Caenorhabditis elegans: one gene and its partner. The protein of the gene in region 2 purifies or fractionates together with the protein of the main gene of each other region. This does not show direct contact. Each region holds a gene or a part of one and is shown on either strand. Other genes may lie near its edges. The genes, in order: egl-30 and unc-73.

The links.
Region 1: the proteins of unc-73 (region 2) and egl-30 purify together in Caenorhabditis elegans (affinity purification with western blotting, with the first as the bait; one study listed by BioGRID). This does not show direct contact.

Annotation. Positions count from the first base shown.
Region 1 is NC_003279.8:1,833,913-1,841,806, reverse strand, and holds the start of egl-30 (Guanine nucleotide-binding protein subunit alpha), read right to left. Parts: upstream 6,147-7,894; 5' UTR 6,028-6,146; coding exon of another isoform or gene 5,935-6,027; 5' UTR 5,872-5,934; coding exon 5,754-5,871; intron 5,157-5,753; exon of another isoform or gene 3,649-5,156; coding exon 3,521-3,648; intron 3,028-3,520; coding exon 2,810-3,027; intron 2,744-2,809; coding exon 2,615-2,743; intron 2,557-2,614; coding exon 2,427-2,556; intron 1,713-2,426; coding exon 1,559-1,712; intron 1,489-1,558; coding exon 1,381-1,488; intron 1,129-1,380; exon of another isoform or gene 1,062-1,128; intron 1,002-1,061; coding exon 919-1,001; 3' UTR 1-918. Other genes in the region: rpl-27 (Large ribosomal subunit protein eL27), read right to left, coding at 6,413-6,529, 6,578-6,715, 6,763-6,918; C53H9.2 (Large subunit GTPase 1 homolog), read right to left, coding at 7,061-7,620, 7,670-7,894.
Region 2 is NC_003279.8:4,028,738-4,033,663, forward strand, and holds the start of unc-73 (CRAL-TRIO domain-containing protein), read right to left. Parts: upstream 3,003-4,926; 5' UTR 2,891-3,002; coding exon 2,870-2,890; intron 492-2,869; coding exon 322-491; intron 147-321; coding exon 53-146; intron 1-52.

The DNA of each region.
Region 1 (7,894 bases), 2.2 Mb from region 2:
GGTGTGTGGATGGGGGATGGTTTTTTTTTCGGTTGAGAAGAAGAAGAAGGAAAAATGACAAAAAAAAATCGATGAAAAATGGAAAAAAATAGGGTGGGGGGGAGGATTTCGAGGTTAGCTTGATGGGAAAAAAATATGAAAAACGGGATTTTTAGGGTAAGGGTGAAGTTTGGGGAGGGGAGTGGAGAAAGCATTCGATAATTTTCGAAAAAAATATGGTGAAAACTCAAAAAAAACGTTATAATATTTGAATTATGTGGATGTGGGTGGGAGAAATTGAAGTTGAGGAGGAAAAAAAAACTATGTCCAACACGAAAAATGTGTTTTTTTTGTGGTTAGAATTGTTAGAAAGGTAAAAAAAATAAAAATTTGAATCAAGACAAAAAAAAACGAAAGAAGCGGCGGTTTGTTGTGGGGATTTTTGTGAGAAAAAAAAAGACAAAAAAAAAAATTTTTTTTGTGAATGACAGAGAGACTAGGTGGTGTTTTTGCATGCCGGAAACTAGGTTGATGGGTAGGGAAGGATGTGAAAACCGACTTTTTGTGATGATAAATGAGTATAGACAGGACAGAAAGAGAGAGAGAGAGAGAGAGAGAGAAGTTTTGTTTCTTTTTGCATTAGCTATATCAGAAAGCACATCCAAAAAAAGAAGAAAAAAGTGCTTATATGGAAAGAATATTCGGGAGGAGCATTTGTTTTAGGGAGGAAAATGAGAAAATAAGAAAATAAGGAAGAGATGGAGAGAGAGACAGACAGAGAGAGAAAGTTTTTTGCAAAAAAAAAACAAAAATTAGAAGGAGTACAAGAAAATGTTTCCTAGGTTTAGGTGGTGGTGTCTCACTCGACCCAGTGAGAGAGAGAGAGAGAGAGAGATGGATCATCATCATCATCATCCAATCCGACATGCGACTTTCTTCTTACACCAAGTTGTACTCCTTCAGATTATGCTGTAGAATTGTGTCTTTGACGGCGGCGAACACGAACCGAATGTTTTCCGTATCTGAAATAGAGGTCCCTTTTATTTGAAAATTTTAGATATTTTTAAACAATTTTTTAGTAATTCGCCATGAGCAACTCTAAGTGTCCATGGGACACCGAATCGGTAACCCGTGGCTACCATAAGTGCTTTTCTCGAACACGGAGTTCTGGCTTCCCTGGAAGAGTTTGGGCCATTTTAGCTCGCCCATATCTGGAGTAGATTTACGGCGCGTTGCGTGTCGCGGCTCAATTCTAGTTGTAAAACTGAATTTATTTATCCGTGTGGAGTACACGACTTTATCCGGCAGACACGATTGTCAATGGAGCGCGAAAATTCAATGAAGAAGGCTAGAACCCCGTGCTCGAATATTTTCCACCTAGCAAACAAAGAAAAGACATACCAGTCGCGCACGTAAAATGAGAGTAGATAATCTTGTCGGCGTCCGGATTCAAGTCGACAAACATTTTGAGAATAAACTCGCGGGCGGCGATCGGATCGCGTGGGGGTCCTGAAAAGAAAACAATTTAGGTGGGTGAAATTTGCCCAAATAAAGTCTCTCAATAAAAGACTCTACAAACCGTCATATTCGGGAAAGTAGTCAGCGAGATGCGAGTACAGAATCTTCTCCTCGAGCAGATCCTTCTTGTTCAGGAATAGAATGACCGATGAGTTGGTGAACCATGGGTACGTGATGATCGTTCGGAACAGAGCTTTCGATTCTTCCATTCGGTTCTGCAAGATTGATTTCTAGTTTGTTTTTTTTTTGCACTATTGTAAGGATTATCACTCTACACTTCACATATTTTAGTTCTAGCTGACAATTTACAGAAAGAACGAGCGAAATCGGTAACGATTTCTACGACGAGAACAATTCGCGTGTTGGGAGAAACTCCTGTTTGAATTGGCGCCTTCGGTACCTGTCGTGTCGAGACCCGCCTGCACATCTTCCCGCGGAATTGGCAACTCTGCGTCTCTCACTCTCTCTCGTCGGGCAGTATATAAGGCGAGTGCGACGCTCATTAATCATCATTTCTTGACCTGTCACCTGTGTTTTGCTCATCCCCAAATCCCCGTTATTCTGTTATCTTACGTTATCATACGTAAACCACTTGGCCCTTAATAAATGCTATAATATTCTACTGGCTCTTCATCACACGCTTATCCCACTGTTACTCTATAGTGCAAATGAGAAATAGCTTAATATCCGCCCCGGCCCCTTGAAAAATGCACATTTTCCGGGCCGAATAGATTGTTTTCGGCCCCTAATTATGGTGCACAGTCGGCGACTAAATTGCATATTTTCGCTTAAAGCCACTATCTCCCTCTCCGTATCTCCGTATCTCTTGGGAGACGAAAAAAGCATCAGAGATTGTTTTCAGCTCATTATATATATATACGAATACCGTATAGTTTTTTCGTAATTAGTACTTTCTCCAGGGAGCTCACCTCGTTGTCACACTCGACCAACACCTGATCATACTCGGAAAGCGCCACCAGGAACATGATTGAGGTGACATTTTCGAAACAGTGGATCCACTTCCGCCTTTCTGATCGCTGACCTCCGACGTCCACCATTCTGGAAAACACAATTTTCCGTTTTTTGAATGTAATTTTTAGTAAATTAAAAAGCTCACCGAAAGATGATCTGCTCCAAATCAAATGGATATTCAATGATACCAGTGGTTGGCACACGAACACGCAGAATGTCCTGCTCGGTTGGCAGATAGTCTGGCACCGCCAGCCGTCGGAGATCGGAGAGATAGCTGGAAGATGTTAAACGAGGTTTAGAAAGAGGTAAAATATTTCAACAAAAAACCACTAAAACTCACTATTTGGCTGAATCGGTGAGCTGATATTCTCGCCTCCTATCATAACATTCCTGAATACCAGAATCCTCCCATAGCTCTTTGATATACGACACGTAGGGTTCCTCGAAAGACGTCACCGACTCGAAATCCACTTCCCGCACCACAGCCGCCTTCTCCTGCAGCTCCTCTGATTCGTTACCAAACTTTATATCTAATGTGTCCATCGCTCGTATCATAGACTGGAAAAAATAGTTCGAATTTTAAGGCTTCGGTCGATTTTTTTAAATGGAAAAACCCCCCTTTTTTCCATCGAAATGAGTATTTTAATCTCAAAAAATCAATTTTATTATGTAACCGCCAAAGATCTCATAGCGAAGTGTACAGAAACTTTTAAAATATTTTTTGAAACTACCATGGTGTCAGAGTGTCTTATTTCGGTTTGATCTACGTTGATCTACAAAAAATGCGGCAGAGTTCTCAACTGATTTAGCATGATTAAGAACGTCCCTGACGTCAAATTCTTTAGGGCGAAAAATTCGAGCACTTTTGTAGATCAAACCGTAATGGGACAGCCCTGGCACTACGTATTAGTTTCCGGTGGTAATTTACAACTTTTCTGTAGACTTCGCTACGAGATATTTGTTGCGTCAAACATCTACTGGCGGTTTCGTAATAAAATATGAGTTAAAATTCAAAATTTTAAAAACAGGTTTTCAGATTCCTAATTCCTACCTGTATGGCCATAAACACGTTCTGATAGACAAGTCGAATGTGTGCTCGCTTGTCCTCTTCCGAATATCCCTGACCGTGGATAATTCGCATCTGCTTGATGAACGTTGACTTGCCGGACTCTCCAGTCCCTGAAAATTGAATTTTTTTTTTGGAAAATGGGTTGTTGGATATATATATATTGTTCAATTACTGTACCTGAGAGCCTGGTTTTTAATTTTTCTCGCTTACCTGGATCTTTCATCATTTTTATTTTTAGGATTTTTTTGTTGGAACATAATTTTTAATGGGATTTAACGTGGTTTTAATAGTTTTGGGAATGCTAACTTCGAAAATACGGTGGGTTCGCCTTTAAAAATTACTGTAGTTACTAACTTTTTGCTGAGTTTGAATTGATTTTTCTTCCAAAATGTGATGTTACACGTGGTGATACTATTTCATTAAAGCTTGATCTACAAAAAATGCGGGAATTTTTCGCCCAAAAATATGTGACGTCAACACGGTCGTAACCATACGAAATCAGTTGAGAACTCTGCGTCTCTTTTCCCGCGTTTTTTGTAGATCTAGGTAGATCAAACCGAAATGAAACTCTCTGACACCACGTGATGTTAGTTAAAAAATTAACCACCTTTTCAATAAATTTAAGAAAACTGGTGAAAACTTATGAAACATCAAAAAACTACGGTACTCTTTAAAGGCGCACGATATTTTGACAGAGAACGCTGAATGTTAAAAAATCTACATTTGATTACTGTTTTCCTTATTTATGAATTAAACTTTCCTTTTAATTTTTAATTTTTTTTCATGTTGAGAAACTAACATCAAACAGATCATGCAAATTCAATTTTTTCCAAAAATTTTTTTTCCAAATCCGTTCCAGTTCCTTTTCACAGTCCCGATTCCAGCCCATGTCTGCCCTTTTTCTTGCCAATCTGCTCCTCCTTTAAAGCCCTCACACAAATTTGGGGCGGGTTGGAAATCAATTTGCACTGCTGCATACAACACACACATACACACAGACAACTCATGTCCATTAGTCATTTGTATGTGAATTCATCTAGTTGCTCTGTGGCCGAGAGAGAGAGAGAGAGGAGCCCACGCCTGCGTCTCCTAGTCCATCGGTCCCTATGGCTGGGTGGAGGACTGGCCAAGCTTCTGCTGCTGCTCTTCACCCCCATCCTTCTTTCTCTGGGCTCTTCCTAGCCCTCCCCGTGGTTGGCTGGGCTGGTTGGTTGGTTGGTTGGTTGGCTGCGCTGATTAGGTTGTGGCTTTCCCCACTCTCTCCCTCTCTCTCTTCCCTCTTTTCCATCGCGCGCGCACACAGCAGCCCCTCTCTCTGGTTCTCTGCGTCTCGCGCTCTCTCGCTCAGAGACACTCAAACTCACGCGGAGCACACTCTCTGCTTTTCCAATACTCCTATGTGTGTGTGTGTCGTCCCCGTCGTATTCTTCATCTCTCACTCCCCCCATTCTTTCTTTTTGCCGCTGCTGCTGCTGCTGCTGCCACCGATCAATACGCGCAGCACAGACGCGACAGGGAAGGGGGAGGGGGGGGCGCTGTGAGGGCAATCCACCAGCGCGTCTCGCTCTCTCTTACCATGCAAATGCTATATACGTACACACACTCACACACACATATATAGATATATGTGTAAGGGAAGGGAAGGGAAAGAAGAAGAAGAAGAAGAAGAAGGGGGTTTCGGGGGCCGGCGGGGGATATATGCCCCCGACAACGACGACGCGCCCCACATTTTCGACATATTAGGGGGGTTGGAGGCCCCCCCCCCAAATAGGAACGAAAAACGGAACGACACGCAGAGAAATAGACTGTTTCATACGCGCACTCCTACACACACACACACACACACTTGGAACTGTTTATTGATTTGGTTTTACAGGTTTTTTCAGAGACTGGAACTGGAACTGTCATTTTAAAGGAAAACCGTTCGGAATTGCGATTGATAACGAGGTGTTGAAGGGGGAAAACTGGAGGACTGATAAGGAAATTATGGTGATAAGGAGAATGATGAATGGGCGACAAGGGGCAGGTGCAATTCGAGAGGGTGTAAATGGAAAAAGTAAACAATAGATAAATAAAGTTTCGGAATAACGTGGAAGGCTGTGGGGGTTTTTTTTTCTTCAAATTTTAGCTTGGCTCCCAGGATTTCAGGATTCCAGGATTCTACAGGTTAAATGAATATTACACCGACTTCTTGTTGAAGGGAACCGGTTCTTACCCAATAAAAGAAGTTTGAGTTCTCGTCGAGCATTTCTTTTGTCACGCTGAAGCTGCTTCTCAATTTCTTGATTTATTCGCTTCTGCTCGCGAGCCTCTTCGGATAAACAGCAGGCCATGGCGGCCGAAAAGGTGCCACCAAGGCCGCAGATGAAGCCAGCGAATAGAACAAGAAGAACACGCTAGAGCGAGGATAGAAGTTCGATGCAATTTTTGTATTTCGGTGGGACGATTGAGGGCGTCAAGTTATAAACATCACAAAAAAACAACAACACAACAACGCACAGGGATGCCTCTCTGTTGGTGGAAATGTGGTGGTGGCGGGTGTGTGTGTATATAAAGCTGATCGCTTGACCGAAAAGGACCGCTAGCTGACGCACGCACCTAACACGCAACGCGCCGGCCTCCCCTCGACCGTAGCACTGGTCGCTGCGAGACCAAGATACGCGTGTCGCCGTGCCGCACTCCACTCTCGCCACGCTCTCTCGTTTCGCCTTGACGCACGGGCTCTACTCGTCTCGTCTCTCGCCGCCGGCTTGCAAACACTAAGATTTTGTGCCCCGATTCACGTATTGAATATAATTCTGCGTTCTAATGAAACCGATCTCACTGGAATATGTAACAACATTTTATTCAGAACAAAACAAGAAAAAATGCGGTTTAGAATCGCAATTTGGTGAAGAACCACTTGTTCTTTCCGGTCTTGTAACGCTCCTCGAACTTGGACTTGACTTCGACGAGGGCCTTTCTCTTCTTGGACGGAGCCTTGAGTGCCTCCTGAAAATTAAAAAATAATAGGTGAAATATATTAGAAATCCAACAAACCTTGTTGATGTTGGTCTTATCGAAGGCGACATCGACGGAGTAACGAGTTGGGAGCAAGTGAGTGTAGGAGACGACCTTGAGGAATGGCTTCAGCTTATTTCTCTTCTCGATCTTCTTCTTTCCCATGTCCTTGGTAACCTGAAAGAAAAATAATTAAATCCCGAACAAGCAACAGATGATTGTACCTTCAATGGGTATCTGTCGATTCCAGCAATGATGGCGTGTGGGTAGGTTCTGTCCGAAACTCCCTCGTCTTGTTGCTTGACGACGACGGCCTTGCGACCAGCATACTTTCCTCTGAGGACGAGGACGACCTTTCCAGGCTTCATAATCTTGCCCATATTTACCTGAAAAAAGTATTAGTGAAAAAGAAAATAGAAGAAATTAAAAGGATAAGAGACGAGCAAAAGAATTGAGATATAGCCTGGGTGGAAACCAGTAGAACAGTAAAAACATTTGAAAGTAATAACAAGAAGAGTGACTTTATTCATTATAAATCCTCCTCAATTTGTCCTTCTTTCCCTTGTAATGCTTCTTTCCATTGTTTTCGGTAGGAGCAGTTGGAATGACGGTTCCTAACGTTTGAGGCAATGCTTTTGAATCTCTGACATGAGCAACTCCGATTGATCCGACAAAGTGTTGAGAGTCAAATTGTGATCCCTTCAACTCATCACCCTCGAGAAGCTGAAGCTTGGCAAGCTTTTCCATCTGCACCCGACCAATATCACGAGTCTTCTTGTCTGGATAGGAGATTCGGTCAAACTCTTCTTGCTCAACTCCGGGAGGTGCGGCTGCCCAAATCAATTTTCCACTGACAACATCCTTGAACATCAGCCTCGCGGCTCTGGAACAATCCGGAATTCCCGACGACGCCATAAATCCTCTCATGAACGCGAGCGAGTTAAGCAAGTTGATTGCAGAAGGACTTTGCATCTCTGGCAGCATAATCGAGTATGTCGCCTCGATGACATGAACTGGAACACGGGAGAGTAGAAGCGACGTTGGGCCGAAGTGGTCACGCATTTGATCAACGGGAAGAATACCTGCAATCGAATCGAATTTGGAAAATATTATTTTAAAACTACGAGTTACCGTTTAAAAACATTTCGCTTCGTCCAAAAGAGAAAGAAGGCATGACAAGTCCGGGACAATCACAAAGGCATAGTTGGCTGTCGATGTGAATGGTTTGGAAATGTCTCGTCTTTCCGGGTGTTGCTGATACTGAAACCTTCTTTCCACCAGCCAGCTTGTTGATCGTAGAACTTTTTCCAACGTTAGGATAGCCAACCATTCCAACCATGACTGGCTTTGCTGACG
Region 2 (4,926 bases):
TTTTGTTGTTTTTGTAGGAATCCATATTTTTTAAACGAAAAAAAAACCATACACTGAGAGCTTTCAGAATGTGTCGAACATTGGTCCATGTTTGTTTTCCACGCATATCAATTACCACAAGGAATCCCTTTTCGCGTGCCATCTTCCTGCAAATTCAATTTTTTGTTTGGTTTTTTTGAAATTTGTGTTTTGTGGGCTTAGGCTAGGCTTATTGTTAAGTAATTGAATTGAAAAATGGAAATAAATTTTTTGAAATATCTTTTTATAAATTTTGTTTTTTCACAGTGTGGTTGTTCCATTTCAGTCAAATAAAAAACTTACGAAGTAACTTCAAATAAATACAGAAAGACATTGCGTAAATTATCCTGATTGACAGGTTGCTCTCGTGATGGACATACGATAACTGCTTGTCCGGCTCTACATCGTCCTCCAGGAAGTACTGCAATGCCGTCACGAAGAACATGCAGAATGTCTTCTGCTTTCATCGTCATCTGGAATTTTTTCGAATTGTTTAAAATCAAAAGTTTTCATAGAGTTTTTGAGATTATTTTTGAAAGTTCAAAATGTCCGGGAACATGAAACCAAAATCTTAGAAAACCAAAAAAAGCTCGCAGTGGCTCCAAAAAATATCAGTGTTTGTCGTAAAAGAAGGACCATTCGAAATTCAATTCACCACCAGAGGAAACGGGTGAGATAGAGGGAGAGAGCGTTGAGACGCAGGCAACACAACACCGAAGAGTGGAATAGGGGGGGAGTCGAGTGGAACGAAAAGGGGCTGGTCACATTGCACTGCAGTTTATCACCAAGTTCAATCTGCTAATCGACTTTTTCGTGTATTGGGACGGACGGACGGAATGGTTAGTGCGCTGTTCGCGGCCCCCGGCAATGGAAAATGACTGTTGATTTGGAGGAAAAGCAGAGAGTCAGAGATAACAGTTCTGCGATCACTAACTCGATTTTTAGGGCTAGCTTCTTGTCTAATTTTGGACCAAAAATTGGGCAAAACTTATACTTGGTTAGGGTGCGCCCAACTTTTCTTGTGTGGTTTTAAACTTGGGTTAGAGTTTGTCAAAAGTTGGATCAAGTTTGGGCTGGATTTGGGCGCAGTCTAAATCAATCTAAGCTTTGCCAACTTCTGGGCAAGAAGCGGGCACCAAATTTTGAAATTTTCGAATTCTAAATGGTGAAGTCGCAGGGGGCGAATTTTCGCTGAACTTGCACTAAAACTTGGAATAAAAAAGAAAATGTCAAACGGAAATCTAGGTTTTATAAAATTTTTTTATTTTTTGTATTTTTTCATTTTTGTATGGCCAATACTGAAAGAAAAATTTGAAATCATTCACTGTACATTACTTTTTTTAAATTTTATGAAACTGTAAAATAGAGATAACAAACTAGAATCATTGATTTTAAATTAAAATAATCAGTACAATGTACTCAAAAACTACCTATAAAAGTTTGGCTCTTTTTGTTTATTTTGTGAAAAAATTGGGCAGAAAAATTTGTATTTGAAAGAAAAAAGACTGAGAGAACTTTTTGTAAAAGCTCAACCAGAGTATTTTGAAGTTGACTAGTTTACTTGCAAGGCAAACCAACACGAAAAAAAACGAAAAAGGAAGAAAGAAAACCCGGCACACAAGAGATTTTCTTTCATTTTTTCTTTCTTTTTCCTCCAATTTTTTGCACTACAACAATTCTCAATGTCTTCCCCGATTGCCATAAACTGCCGTCATTACACACACACACTATTCGGATTTTTTTGTTGGTATTCGTTCTCTCTCACATTTTCCTCGCTTCTCGAGGTCATAATCCTGTCTCGAACAACAACATACTAGTAGTAAGATTGGTGCTAATCGAGAAGGCACTCTTTGAGAGTACCATCTGTTTCAAGGATTGAGGGAAGAGCTTGATAAGCTCCCACTATTTCGTTTCTTTTCTCACACAACTTTACACAACCGGTCACTATTATCGTGCTATCTGCGTCTCTCCATCTCATGATCTATCCGGAAATAATGGGTGAGAAGAAGCAGGAGCACCGGGAGAGCACCGAATTTCGGAATGAGTGACACAAAACAATTGACTCATAACATATTTCAAAAACGTGATGAACTCATTTTACACTTTTCAACAATTGTCTGGGAAGGTTTGTAATCGTAATACATCAATTATTATGATTTATTTTTCTTTAGTTTGGACCTAATCAAGATTTATAGTCGTGAAAAAGAGTAGAGATCTCGGAAATTTTTTTTTTCAATTTTGGCAAAACTTTAAAGTTATATTAAATTTTTTAGTTGCTGTTTTGGTGTTAATTTTTTCTACTACTCATAGGCGAAATTTAACGATTTTTGTATCAAAATACGGTACCCGGTCTTGACACGATAAAATTTTATTTGAAGAATACTGTAATCTCTAGCATTTGGTTTTTGCGGAATTTTCATCAATTTTCATTGTTATTTATAAAAAAATTTTTCATCGGAACAATTTTACAACAAAAAAACTGTTAAACACATAAATTTAAACAAATATAGAGAAAAAAATCAATAATCAACTAAACTACAGTAATCTTTAAAGGCTCATCAAAAATTTGTAGTATCGAGACCGAATACCGTATTTTTATTGCAAATATCGCAAAACTTTGCGTCTGGGCAATATTAACAAAACAAAATTAAATTATTTGAAATTTAAAAATTTGATGAAAAAGACATTTCTCGGAACATTCGAAAAACAAAAACGTATTCTTTTCTCTATCAAATCGTACAGTTTGCACTCGTTTTCCGCATTAATCGCTTCAATGGATTACGGCGCCGGCATCTCTGCCTCTTTTTTCACAAGTTGCCGCTGCCGCCACCATGAAACTGAAAAAACTCACTTTTCCATCATAATCGCCCATAACTGATGGAGGAATTTTATGCGAATTTGACGACTCTTCTTGAATTCAAAATAATCATGTGCTTCTGAATGTCTGTGTGTGTATTGTGACGATCAGATGAGAACCCGTTTATCTGAAAAAATGACAGTTTTCAAAGAATTTTAAATTTCTTTCAAAAAAAGAGATTTGAGAAAATAAAATAGAGTGCGTATTGAAAAGAGAGAAAAAGTTGATTTTCGATTTAAATTTTCTGATGAAATATTGCTCGAAAATCATGGAAAATCACACTAAATAAGATTTTAAAAATCAAAGAAAAAATCGAGACAAAATTATTAATTATTATGGAAAAAACAAAATTTTCCAGAACATTTAAAAATAAGTGCATTACAATTTTAGAAGCTTTTCATATAGCTTAACATCTTCTTGGAACAAGTTTGGTATACAAAATATTTCAAACAATCCGGAAAAAAATGGCTTAAATCGGAAATTGGCAACATGTGGCTTGAGCTAATTTAATTCTATTTGACCCTAGTCTAAACAATCTCTTGCCAAATTTTGGTCAAAATGGTCTTGCCAATTTTTAAAACTAAATTTTAAAGTTTGTTTTAAAATGACTGACTCATTGATATTTTTGAAGAAATTCTATACTCAAGCAGCTAAAAATAGGATGGAAAAGGTCGAAACATTGCGAAACGTTATTAGATCTTCTCACTAGAATACGTACTTTTTCAGGAAGTATGCATTATTCAAATGTCTTCACTGCATAAAATAAAATAAGCAAATAAAGATGTGATGAATCTAGTCTCAATTATTAGTTGCACAACGCATTACAAATCGTTGGGTGTGAAAATGCGAAAATCGTGGAAAAGGAAGAAGAAAAGGAAGAGCTACCAAAACGAACTATTTCTCTCAAGAGGGCCCAACCATTGGGGTGGGCACCGCTCCGGGAATAGCGTACGAAAGCGGGAGACAAGCGAATTGTTATGGGAGGCTAACGGCCGTTGTAGCAGACCGCTGGTCATATGAGACAGTGCTAGTGTCCTGTAGAGACGCAGACGTAAAAAGAGAACGCAAGGGTCACTGCGCGCGCAGACGGATGTTGATGGACCGGACAGACCGCCGGGGACACAACAGGCAAAATAAGAAAGAAGACATGAAGAAGACGACGACGTGAGATGGCGGTAATGGTGGCAGGTGCAAACGATGCAGGCGACAGATGACAAGAAGTATGTTAGCAACACTTCAAATATAGATAATTCTGTTTAAATCCTTTCTTCTCCAAAATTGAATTTTTCAATTGAACTCAATAGATGCTGTTGTGAGCTCTAGAAGTTGTTGAGATGTCTTTATAATCTAATCTCTCAAATTCTTTGAAACTACTTGTATCTGAACTAGAGCATTTTAGTTCAACAGGCAAAACAGATCAAAATTTAATGCAAAAATATATAACAAATAATTTATTAATCAGAAAATAATTTTCATTTAAGTTTGAAAATGTGAAAATATGATTAAAAATTGCATGAAAGTTGCCAATTGCTGGAAAAAAGTGTCAATAATTTGTCTGATTTATTCCAGCAATTTTCACCTTTCAGACAACTTTTAAGGATTTTTTTTCAACTAAAAAATTATTTTCAGATCAATCAATCCTATATTTTGACACTAAATTTTAATGAAAAATATCAGACCAACATGCCACATCAGGCCATTTTGTAGAATTGTCGAAAAAATTTAACGTACACCTCTGATCTGAACAATCAGTTTTTAGTGTCGGTGGAACACCGTAAAACAAAATCCTAGGAAATTTTAAATGAACTAAATTGAACTAAATGACCAAAAATTGAACTAAATGACCGCTATCGCCCTAATATCAAAAATAATATCAATTCCACTCAATCCTACAGTAACAAGTCAACATCAGAGATATTCTCGAGACACATGGTGAAGATTGGATTTCCCAGAGGATTATACCACCACATGTCTCTTCAGCCAAACAGTATACGATGACCGTTCAAGCGGAAATCATAAAACAAAAGGGATCGACACTTGACAGTTACTAT